Linked DNA regions of Oryzias latipes. The protein of the gene in region 1 interacts with the protein of each later gene in a pairwise test. Links are inferred from orthologs where the notes say so. Each region holds a gene or a part of one and is shown on either strand. Other genes may lie near its edges.

Region 1 (5,660 bases):
GACGGTGGGAGGAAGCCGAAGAAAACCCACGCATCCACGGGGAGAACATGCAAACTCCACACAGAAAGGTCCCCCAGCTGGGACTTGAACCAGGGCTGTGAGACATGAGCGCCAACCACTGCACCACCGTGGCAGAAGTACAGAAGTAAAACTGTTTCCTCAAGTTACATTAATGCACTCTGTGGTTTTCCTCATTTAAAAAAATGCATCATTTGTGTCATTTGAACTGCAATAACAAACTGCATTTTTACAGCTCATTAGGTATCGTGTAAAATTGACTATATAGCTTCCCTTAGCAAAAAGTAGTCGATTTAAGTAAACTACAATTAGGGCCGGACGATATAAGGAAAACTCGCAATTTGTGATATTAGTGATCAATACTGTGATCACGATATAACCTGCGATACATGCACAAATAGCAAAAAAAACAAAAACATCATTTCTATTTCACTTTAAATAAGAGTCAACATAACCAGTCAACAACACCTCAGTGGTCCTTGATGGAGTTGTGTGCTGGGCGGGGGGCAGTGCAGGCAGAGACATGAAGAGGCTTAACAAAGTGGTTAGGAAGGCCGGCTCTGTCCTGGGTTGCACACTAGAGTCCACGGAGGAGGTGGCGGACAGGAGAATGTTGGCTAAGCTGACATCCATCATGGATAACCCCTCCCACCCCCTGCACCAAACTGTAGAGGCGCTTCAGCACAAGACTGTTGCACCCACAGTGCAAGAAGGAGCGCTACCGCAGGTCATGCCTCCCCACAGCCATCAGACTGTACAACACCGTGTCAAAGTGACACTCCACGAACCCAGGGGTGTTTTTTCTTTCTTTTACTCATTTATTCATTTACTTTTGTTACAGTTGTTGCAGTTTTCAATAGTTTTTGTTCCTGAACGGTTGTTTGTTTTGGTGTGTACTTTATTACTTACTTATTTTTGTATTTAAAAAGAAAAAGAAAAGAAAAAGAAAAAAAGTTTTACGTGTTTTTGACAGTTGATCACATGTTTGCAGTGGATCACATGTTTTTTACACTTTCGCAGCTGCCACAGATAAATGAATTTCCCCATTGTGGGATTAATAAAGTCATCTAATAACTTAAATTACACTCCAAATGATCCTAGTCTACATAAGAGGTGCGGCAAGGAGGCGGGTCATCCGATTGGTCAACAACATGAAGGCCCAAGGTGCTTTACAGTCACAGTCCCATTCACACACTGATGGACAATGGCGGCAACCTTTCACCAGTGGCAATGTGGGGTTCCGTGTCTTGCACAAAGACACATCAAGGTAAGAATCGAACCCGCAATCTTCAGATCTTCTTCGACTGCCCTACCGCTGCACCAAAGTATCCCCCTTGCAGCCTAAATACTTCAAGTTGCCAAAAAATGTTCAAATGTGGTCTTAAAAGTATTTAGTTAGTATGCTTCCTATACTTCATGGACAAGGTTATAGTAGACTTGCTTTACTCAAAGATACGGCAAGTGTACTACTTTTTGCTAAGGGTTATGAAGACCAAATCTGTCAGAAAAAAACAAACAAAAAACTAAACATTATTAAAAGGTCTGATGTTCACAAATAATTTTATAACCACTTTGTTACCACTTTCATATGGGTTGGTTAATCTGAGGTGACAAATTCTCAAACAATTAGCATGAACTGCTACAGTCTCTGTAAATGACTGTTATTTTTTTGATCTATTTTCAGACTTTATGACTTATGTTTTAAAATCTTCATACAGTTTCAGTGATTTGTGTTTTTCTTTTATGCTACGATCACACCGGCCTTAGCAACGCGCGTTGAAGCAACCATTTCAAATAAAAAGTCTATGTACGGTACATATGCATGTTTCGGGCTTCCGCGTTCAAAACTCTCACGTTAACGCATCGCCATGCAAGATTTTAAGTCTGTTTTCGGGCTCTTTAAATAAAGCGTGCAGCCATTGAACACGCGTTAAATGTTTGACCAATCAGAGTGTCGGATTTGGGAGCCACATATGGGTAGCGTCCTTTTTTCACTCACTGAAATGCCAACCCTTTGAAAATTGATCATGGAGGATAAATGAATAGTTGAGGTCTGTGCTTAGACGGCATTATACAACACCAAATCTGTCATAATATGTCAGAATAGAGCTGTGAAAGAAAAAGCCTGGAGCAAGAGTTGAGACCATCGACTGTAAAAACAACAGACGAATCGAGGTATGATGTCACCCATAGCTCTCCTCCCTTCCTGATACGTTTCAACGTGGCGGCGCCCGCATCAGGAAGCAATGGTACTTCCTATTTGGGAACACGAGAAGGGAGGTGTCCATTGTTTTTACAGTCAATGGTTGTGACATTTGCACTACTTTGACATTTCGCACCAAGCCTCGTCCAACTGTAGATGCATGCGATAGTATCGGGTAGTGACAGTTGAGTGTAAAAGCGTTCAAGAACCCCTCGTTCAGCATGTTCTTAAATGTACGACACATGCCCGCTGTGAACGCATGAATCCAAGGACGAGCTTAACCCTGTCAGTCTGAAGCAATGTGCAGAAACCAAAATCTCATCCACCTGGTTGGGGAGTGCACACAGAGTGCTGATTGTATTCTGAAGATTTTCCATTTAAACAGATTTAACCAAACATTCACCAAAGTTTCTACATGATGTCATACTTGCCTCTTTCTCTGAAGCTGCTTGTCCTGCATCTTGGCAGCCGTTGCTAGGGTCACACAGAGCTGACATCTCCTGCCATGAAACAGACCAGTTTTGACAATTGATTATTTCCTAACTGACACCTGGATGGGGGTGGCACTAACATGACTGTTTCATGTCCACTAAATGAGAGCGCTTGTATAAAAGGGGAATTCCCTACATTTTCCAATCATCGCAAAAGTAAGACAACTGTTTTTGAGCTAAACTTCTCAAGAACTGTTGACGGTTAAAGGAGTTTTCCTCCGAATGTGGGAAATTAGGAATCCCCATCAAAATACTCCCCAAATTTAAGTATGCAGTGAGTTCAAAAGTGTCAATAAGTTGAAATGTTAAGAGAAATATTCCAGTTTTTTTAAATGACACTATACTTACTATACATATTATTAGTTATTTAAACAAACTCAGTTTAAATAACAGATTTTTACGGCCATTATAACAGCACAGATGGACTTACTGACTTTATTTTTTAAATATTCCTTTCCACCAAGATTAGCTCCTTTAGGACTTCTGTCTTAAAACTTTAGCAGGTAAAGTCCAGTCAGTGTTTAGTTTTGTCTGCAAAAAGTAAAAGCCCCTGGAGTCAAATTCACCCTTTCTCCACTAATAAAAAGAAAAAGGTTAAGAAGATAAGGGCTCAGTCAGAATTCAACAGTAGTGTTTCTTTTCCCCCCAGAATTCACATTTCAGTGCTTTAGTTTTATGTCCTACCCATCCATGTGGTAAATAAAAAAAGGGTTTTCAATTACGACATGATTATATAAGAAAGGACTGAGTCATTTTGAAATTTTAAACAAAACTTGAAGGAAATAAAACGCAAAACAGCTGCCAAGTAAGTACGTTACGTGTTATTTAAATTTAATGCCTGTGTGTCGTCTGTTACAAAACAACGACGTCATTTGTTACTGTTTTCTTCAGTTTGCTGGCCATAAAAACATGTGGCTGCTTACCTCAGATATTTCGCAGAATTTTCCCTGGGTTACACACAAAAGTAAACACAGCTCGTTCTGAAGATTGCGTTACGTCACTAATGAGCGACACCGACAAGTAGCAGCACCACCGGAAGTGGAAGTGAAAGACAGAGGTTTTTTTTAAAAAATTATAAACTTTATTGACAATTGAGGTATCATACATAACATAACGAACAGTAACTATATAATCAACATTACCTAGAATAGCAATCACCATTGCCAAACATAACATATAAACATAAAAAGTAGAAAAAACGAATGAACATAACACACACAAATAATTAAAATAAATAAGTAAAATAAAAAATAAAATAACATAAATCCATCCAAAAGGTTTGATATTGGTCAGGGGTACTCATTAAGTTTGTATTTTTGAACAAAACTAGGCAATTTCAAGCCATTCTTCTTTTTCATATAGTGAAGTGATTGAAAACAAAAATAGAGCTCTTTATGAAATGTAATAAAAAGTGGTTTGGTCATCAAATATTTATTCTTGTGAATATAAAACTTTCCTTGAATTATCAGGACATTAAGGACCATATTTTCTGGTCTATTAGGTGAAACCACCCCGAATAAAACATTTTTTGCCTCTAAATGAACTGTCATTGCAATTTTGGAAGAATACCAAAAGCAGAACTCTTCCCAGAATGTTTTTATGACTCCACAATTAAGAATAAATGATCCACCGTCTCAATGTCCTTTAAACAAAAACTGCAGTCATTCTCCTCAAATCCAAAACGAAGTCTCAAAAATTCCTTGGATGGGTAAACATCACTAATTATTTTAAAATGAATGTCTCTTGGTAAAATACAAAATTTAAAGATATTCAACCTTAATTCAATGACCTCTTCTTTAGAGAAGTGTTTAGATTTTTTTTTTTTCTGATGAGATGTTTGGAAGAGTTCTTTCACAAACAATTTTCGTATGAAGCTGTTTGGTAGTTCTGTCTTTGTAACCGTCTGTCCGTCCAATAGGAGTGAAGGAAGTTTTAATGGAACTTTGTTTAACAATAGATTTTGTGATAATTGGATCAACGACCGAGGAAGAGCTTTAATCACAGCATCATATTGTTTCCTATCAAATAATTGAAATTCAGAACTAAAATTTTCAAATGTCAAAATATTTCCAGAATGATCCAGTAGATGCAGAACAGAACATATCCCTTTAGTCAGCCAGTTTTTGTAAAACAAGGATTTGTTTCTTCGTAACACATAACGGCAGTTCCAGAAAGGCGTGGTGTGCGGACTAAAGTTATGCTTATAAATTAGTTTCCTGTACAATAAAATTTGTTGATGAAAGGCAGAAAGTTTGATTGGCAGTTTTTTTTAGATCATAGTTGCATTTAAGCAGAAAGTTAATTCCACCTAGATCCCTTAATATTTTAGAGGGGAATTGAAACCAGAAACCTTTTTCGTTCTTTAAGAAAGATCTCAGCCAGTGGATTTTAATCGTTCCGTCTAAACATTCAACATCAATAGCTTTAAGTCCTCCCTCTTCATAATCCTTTAACATCACACTTTTCTAATATAATGAGTTTTGTATTTCCAAATGAACTTAAAATTAATTTGATTTATGTCGTTAATTGCAGATTTAGGGAAGGATTAAGAATATGCTGGGTAGATTAATCTTGATAGAGATTCCATCTTTACTAGAAAAACTCTACCAAGAATGGAAATATCTCGATGGGACCACAGATTTAGATTTAATTTACATTTATCTAAAGTTTTCCAAAAGTTAAGATCCTCCAATGATTTGGAGTCTTTGGTTAGGTGAATTCCCATATAACTTGGGATTTAACAGGAATGTTTTGAATTGTTGTTAAAGTGGAATATTTAATTGGCAATAATTCACATTTTTTCAGATTGAGTTTCAGACCGGAAGCTCTGGAGAAAAAATTTATTAATTGTAGGATCACAGAAATCTGACTGCTGTCCTTCATAAAAATAGCTGTGTCGTCAGCGAACTGAGTGATTGCTATTTGCTGGCCTAAAGCATTACGTTTTT
Region 2 (5,787 bases), on another chromosome or scaffold:
TATGCTGCCTTCAGTGTCTGAAAGCAGAGTCTGGCTAATTCCAAGTTGTAATTTCAAATGTTACTTAAAGGAAAACAGCCTCAAATCTCTTCAGGGGAAATAAAGTGAAAAGCATGAAAATGAATTGAAATGGAGGGTAGAAGAGCATTTAATTATGCATACCTGCTGCAGGTGCTTTCAATGCTTCCCTTCGTTCATGCTTTTTTTTGAGCTCAGGTTTTTACAAATAAACTCCACCTCTGTGTGGCTTTTTAAACGTATTTTTGTGTTTATTCTCTGCACTTCCCTTATGGGTCCCTCAGGAGTCATTATGTATTATTGCACGCTTGCGCCAGCGGCTCCTTTCTCGGTTTTGCTCTGCTGTTGGCATTTGCTCCTCGGCTTCCAGGGGCAGGTGCGGTTTCGTATGTACAAGACCAAATGAGATTGTAGTCTCTGTTTACAAATCATGACAGCACAATGCAGCTTCCTAGACCTCCACAAGACATTCTTCCTAATCATTACACAGCTTTCCCGGCTGCCACACCGCTCACAAACACACCTGGTAACTGAGTGCATGGGACTGTCAAAGCAGAATATGACAGACTTGACACATAAACCTTTACAGAGGTCTGACCTCAGCCCTGGTTTCTATTACAGATGACTCCAGGTTTGTGCTCTTTTTACTGTTAGATATGATCACAAACATAAACATTTTACATGCTCACTCTTACTACAAGAAGTGTACTCAAATTTGAGAAAAATCAAACAAAACATTAAAATAGAAATCCTTGATTTCTGGTTCCATTTCCATAATTATGCTCCTTTTCTCCCCGCCATTTCCATATCTCTGATTGGACTTGGGCTCTTTTTGTTCTCCCCCTCTCTTGGCATCTCCTCTGGCACCAGATGCAGCTTGGTTAACTGACCCAGACTTGAACAGGCTGTGCAGACACAGCTGAGGCCCCTGGTGCCACAGATGCTGAAAGTGTTGCATTCGCAAGGCTGCTAAGCATTTTTAATGCTTACGAAGCACAGGGCTCGTTTTGGCTTCTATGTGCATCATCTAGTGCCCGGAAAGTGTCTTCTGTCCAGACCACACCGATATAAAGGCTTGCTAACATGTTGTCTATGGTCCCGGTTGGCAGGTGGTGCTGAGGCAGTAACCGTGGCAACCCTTCTCCACACTTAAACCCAGTTTAACAACCCATCCATCCTTTCTGTCTCTACAGCTCTGCACCACAAGTCCACTTTTGCTCTGATTGAATGTCATCAAAGCTACTGAGAAGCATCATTACAGTAGTTATCATTAAGGAGCCAATTAGTGCACAAAAGATGCATTCTTTGGCTACATGAGTGATATGATGTGGAATTTATATTTGTCTTTTTAATTGGTTAAATTTAATATTTGTCTCTTTGCATATTTTGCTTATGATAGTTGATTAAAATAATGTATAAATTAACTGATTCCATTTTTATTTACCCGATTTTATGTCATTTTTACAATGTCTGTTCACTTGATGTACAAAAACGTTTTTCTCAAACTTATTTAACAAATCAGCTGGTTGTTTTTTAAAGACTTTTTAATTCAAATAAAATTTAGACCAAATCAAAATTAATTTAATAGGAATAAAAGGTAAGTGTTTGTTCTGAGTTTCTGCTATGGCAAGAAATATTGACATTAGTGCCGTGAGAGAAAGGAGGGAGCAGAAAAAAGGAAAGAGAGGAGACAGAGTGCTCACCTGGAACATCACCCTGTATTGTTCCTCGGGTTTCTGAACCACACACATGTTGCACCCCATGGTAACTCCTGACGGGGTGCAGGACTGTGCAGGTCCAACCGCTAATGACCAGTTCTCAAGTAAGGATTCTTTGTCTGTGGCGGCGTGGGAGCCCCACCCTCATTCGCAGGCGTTGTGGTGTTCAAAGCGGGTCCTCTTTGAGGTATCATGCATCACATCCCGGGCAAATATGAGCCGGCTGCATCTCTGTTCCTTTGTCTGGTGTTGTGCTCACAAATGAAATGTTGCTAAACCTGCAATAAACTCACATTTGAAGTGTGATTTCTAAGAAAATCTCAGGAAAGGCCTAAAACAGAATGTCCTGCTACTTTGTGCTTTATTGATACATCAAAGCATCTGCTTCAGACAGCTCCATGCTTATCCGATTGACACGGAGAGGAGTTGCAAAGCTCATAAAGCTGCAGGATGCTTCACATTTAAAGACTGGAAAAGACTCCTGAACTCACATCTGTTTCTTCAGGACTTCCCTTTCTGTCAGCTTCTCTCTCAGCCCTTTTCTGTACGTTTGCCAAAGTGACACTAAGAAATTACTGAAAGCCCCGTCAGCACCCTCTCCTGCCTCATCTGTCATCTACCCCACATTCAATGCGTGTTCCAAGCTGTTTGTGATTGTAGCTGCAGCAAAACTTACTGTGTGCAGAGGACCGGTTCTACAGGGGCATGACACCGCCAGCCAAAACCGCTCAGACCTCTGCAGCTGAGATAACACCGCCAGAGGTGTCTCAGCAGGGGGCAACACAACTACAAGCTTTACATCACAAACACTCTCACTTGCAGCTCTGCAGAACTGCAGTAAGAGTAAAATTTCACAAAATTACAGAAAATTGAAATGCTACACAAAAAAACTGGAAGGAAGTTCATTCAGCAACTTCCTGTTGTCAGATACGATCACATGTTCAGACTATTGATCCGCAGACACAGCAAACTCACCGCTGGACTTCTCTGAGGGGAAACATGGTGGATTATGACCAAACTGATGACCCCAAGCTCTGATAAGACAGCACACTATTCAATTATAAACTTATAGATAAGTTGTGCCACATAGAGGATTCTTGTCCTTAAAAACATTTTCCCTTTCCTCAAAACTTTCAACGCCACGGTGAAGCTCTCCTCACAGCCTGAGTCTATTCATATAGAACCCAGTTTATTCCAAGCTAAATCTGTCACAGTTAACATGAACTGGAGGGAAACTGAGTCACCTGCTCGCCTTCTGTGTCTCATCTTGTCAGTTGAACCTTAATCTTTAATCCTCCAGAGCGCGGTCGGATAGCTTGAGAGTTTTTGGTCCATCGACAAGGTTTTGAAGCTAATCCTCATTCAAGGCTTCACTACACCTGCGTCCTGTCTGGAGGCTGCTAAGCCACCTACACAAACGCGCACACGCATTAAGACTGCATCCACCTAATGTGGAGAATGATAACTTGAGGAGAAAACAAGCTGCCTTGGAGATCATGCAGCCAATCATGCTGCAGTGAGGTGTCAGACCGGTCTCAGCAGGCAGGTGTGCTCCAACTGTCATCCCTTCTCTCCTTCTATGTTCACCCCTATCGCCTGTCAGCTCTACACATGCTTGCTGCAGTGTGAGCATTCGATGGTCCCCCCCATGCCTCAGCTGGTGGGGTATGTAGCTGTCCGGATGCGTTGAAAACACACGCGTAAAAGTTAGTCCATCTTCGGCTGGAGGCAGAAAAATAGAAAAGTGTGAGGAATGAGCATGTCCCGTTTTATTCCTCCCTTTGTCTCTCTTTCATGCTATGAACAAATATCCACAAAAGGGTGTTTCCATGTGAGGGAAGCAATGTAGACCATTGTGAGTATTCCAGGTGGCTGGACTGATGAGCAGCGCTTGTCTCAGGTCAGTGATGAATCCTCACCAGGAGCGGAGGCTGATTGGAGGATACTTCTTGCCTTCTCCCCTTGGGTATGACGGCAAAGTGCTCCCCCCTCTGCAGTGGAGGTGGTGGTGGTGGGGGGGGTGAGTGCACAAAAGGCAGTTGCATTGGAGCTCAGCAAATCTGCCCGCTGCACTACAACTAAATCTCACGCAGAAGGATTTCTCTCTTGCTGTGTTGTCTTTTTCCCTCCACCCTTTTTTTCTTTTCCTCATTCAGGGTTGGGCTACTGCATCCTCTCTAGTCCCCCCATCATTTTTACCCTCCCTCCTCTCTTTTGCCTCTCTCTGCTTGTCTGCAGGCAAGGGAGCAGGCACTAGAGAGGTCTGTGCATGCAGGACAAGGCGACATAACAAGCAGAGCTTCATAAAAGTGAATGAAATATCAAGGCTCTTTTTTCTGAGACAGCCTCATCCATCTTGTGTCATTTAAGTAATTCACTTTGTGCTTGTGATTTTTTATGAGATCCTTTGAGGACAAAAAAAAAGGATGATTGCAAATTTTCATAGCAAGAGGGGAAAAAAAACTGCCCACAGCAGGTAGAGCTCATGACTGGCTGTGCATTTAGATGAGGAGCTGCGCTAAAACAAGTATGATCGGGAAAGGAGCAGCAGGAGAAGAGGAGAAACAAGTGAATAACAGGTGTGACTAGATAGATGGAAAGATGCAGAAGAGAGCCAAGAGAAAAAATGCAAATGACTGTGTGGGAGAGCAGAGGAGGAGTGAGGATGGGGAGAAGAAAAAGACTTTTCTGCAGTAATCAAAATGACCCGCTGAGGTATAGAGGGTGCAAATCTGCCATATGGGGAGTATTCATTTTACATTTCTACCCAGACTGGCAGGTAATTGTTGGTAGAATCTTCTCTGCAGACACACTCAGAACATTAATTTTCCATTTAAACTTCCATTTCACTGGCACTCTCTCTGTGGTGCTGTTGCCAAACAGGGGGTGAAGTCTGAGGAGCATTTCGTCAGCATTCCTCTCCGTGCCGTATCAGTTTTCTGAAATAAAAATCAGTCGAGAATTTTGTGTCTTGGTTACGCATCTCAAGTGTTTGTCTCCCTCACACACACAAATCTTCCCTTGATGGCTTCTGCGAGCCACGGATGAAGCAGGATTTCACGGTGGCTATGTGAGGATCAACAAGGTTGCACGTCTTTCACCACCTCTCCCCATGTCGCCTCTGATACTGAATGCAGCTCACACAAGCAGGCCTCTAGGTTTTCTCAGTCCAACGCCTTTAGAGCACAAAAGGTCAGCCTGTCATCCTATTATAGTTGGGGCAGAGATGAGAAAAAAGCAGGGACTGTGGATATTGGACTCTCCTGTCCAACATTGGGATCTGTTTTTATCTTAAGACTCCCTCCAATCATACTTTGACTGTGCTGTTTTTAGCCAAAGTAAAAAAAAAAAACTAGTTTTCTAGAACGTAGTTTCTGCAGAGCAGCAGTAGTTCATTACCATTTGCCTGTGAGTTGTGGGCAGGACTGTTACCACAGAGAAAGCCTGTCCCCATTCCCCATTTCCCGTCATCTATCTGTTTGACACACTTTTCTGCTAGCTTACAGCCCCTCACAACTTTAACCCAACATTACCAGTGCATAAGATTGGAGCAAAGCAGGGAGCTTGTGGCTTGCTGTAATACGTAACACGTCACACCTACAAGCTTTTTCCAATTTTTCCATTTTCTCCTGATTCACAGCAGTTTAAATAAAGAAATACTCAGAAATGCTATTTTCATCTTAATTTTCTTTATATGTATCCTCTGTCATCAGAAAAATGCCACAAGAACGTGTTAAAAACCAAAAAAAAAACCTTTTCATCAGAGTGGATCTTTAAATGCCAGCGCAAGTCATTATGCATTTGTCTCTTTATGGATCTCCACCTGAGCAAAAAGGAGTGTGACCTGCAGGTCGGTGCTCTTTCATTTCCCGACTGAGCTCCACCTTTTTCCTAACATCGCTGTAGCTCTCCACCTTTCAACCCATCACGAGAAAAGATCACACACACACACACACACAAAATAAGAAAAAAAACTCCTTCTGCATCACTAAAATGCAAAACAGGACTTTTTCCAGCCAAAATGTAAATGAAAAATATTATGCATTCATGA

Evidence for each region.
Region 2: the proteins of apip (region 1) and pdzd4 interact in a two-hybrid assay, tested with the Homo sapiens proteins (2 studies listed by BioGRID and IntAct). The two-hybrid records come from large-scale screens. The link is inferred for Oryzias latipes from reciprocal best matches to the Homo sapiens genes APIP and PDZD4.

The regions. Positions count from the first base shown.
Region 1 is NC_019861.2:8,212,261-8,217,920, reverse strand, and holds the start of apip (methylthioribulose-1-phosphate dehydratase), read right to left. Parts: upstream 3,762-5,660; 5' UTR 3,636-3,761; intron 2,722-3,635; 5' UTR 2,719-2,721; coding exon 2,653-2,718; intron 1-2,652. UniProt on the Homo sapiens protein: Catalyzes the dehydration of methylthioribulose-1-phosphate (MTRu-1-P) into 2,3-diketo-5-methylthiopentyl-1-phosphate (DK-MTP-1-P).
Region 2 is NC_019865.2:21,182,792-21,188,578, reverse strand, and holds the start of pdzd4 (PDZ domain-containing protein 4), read right to left. Parts: upstream 3,903-5,787; 5' UTR 1,782-3,902; coding exon 1,722-1,781; intron 1-1,721.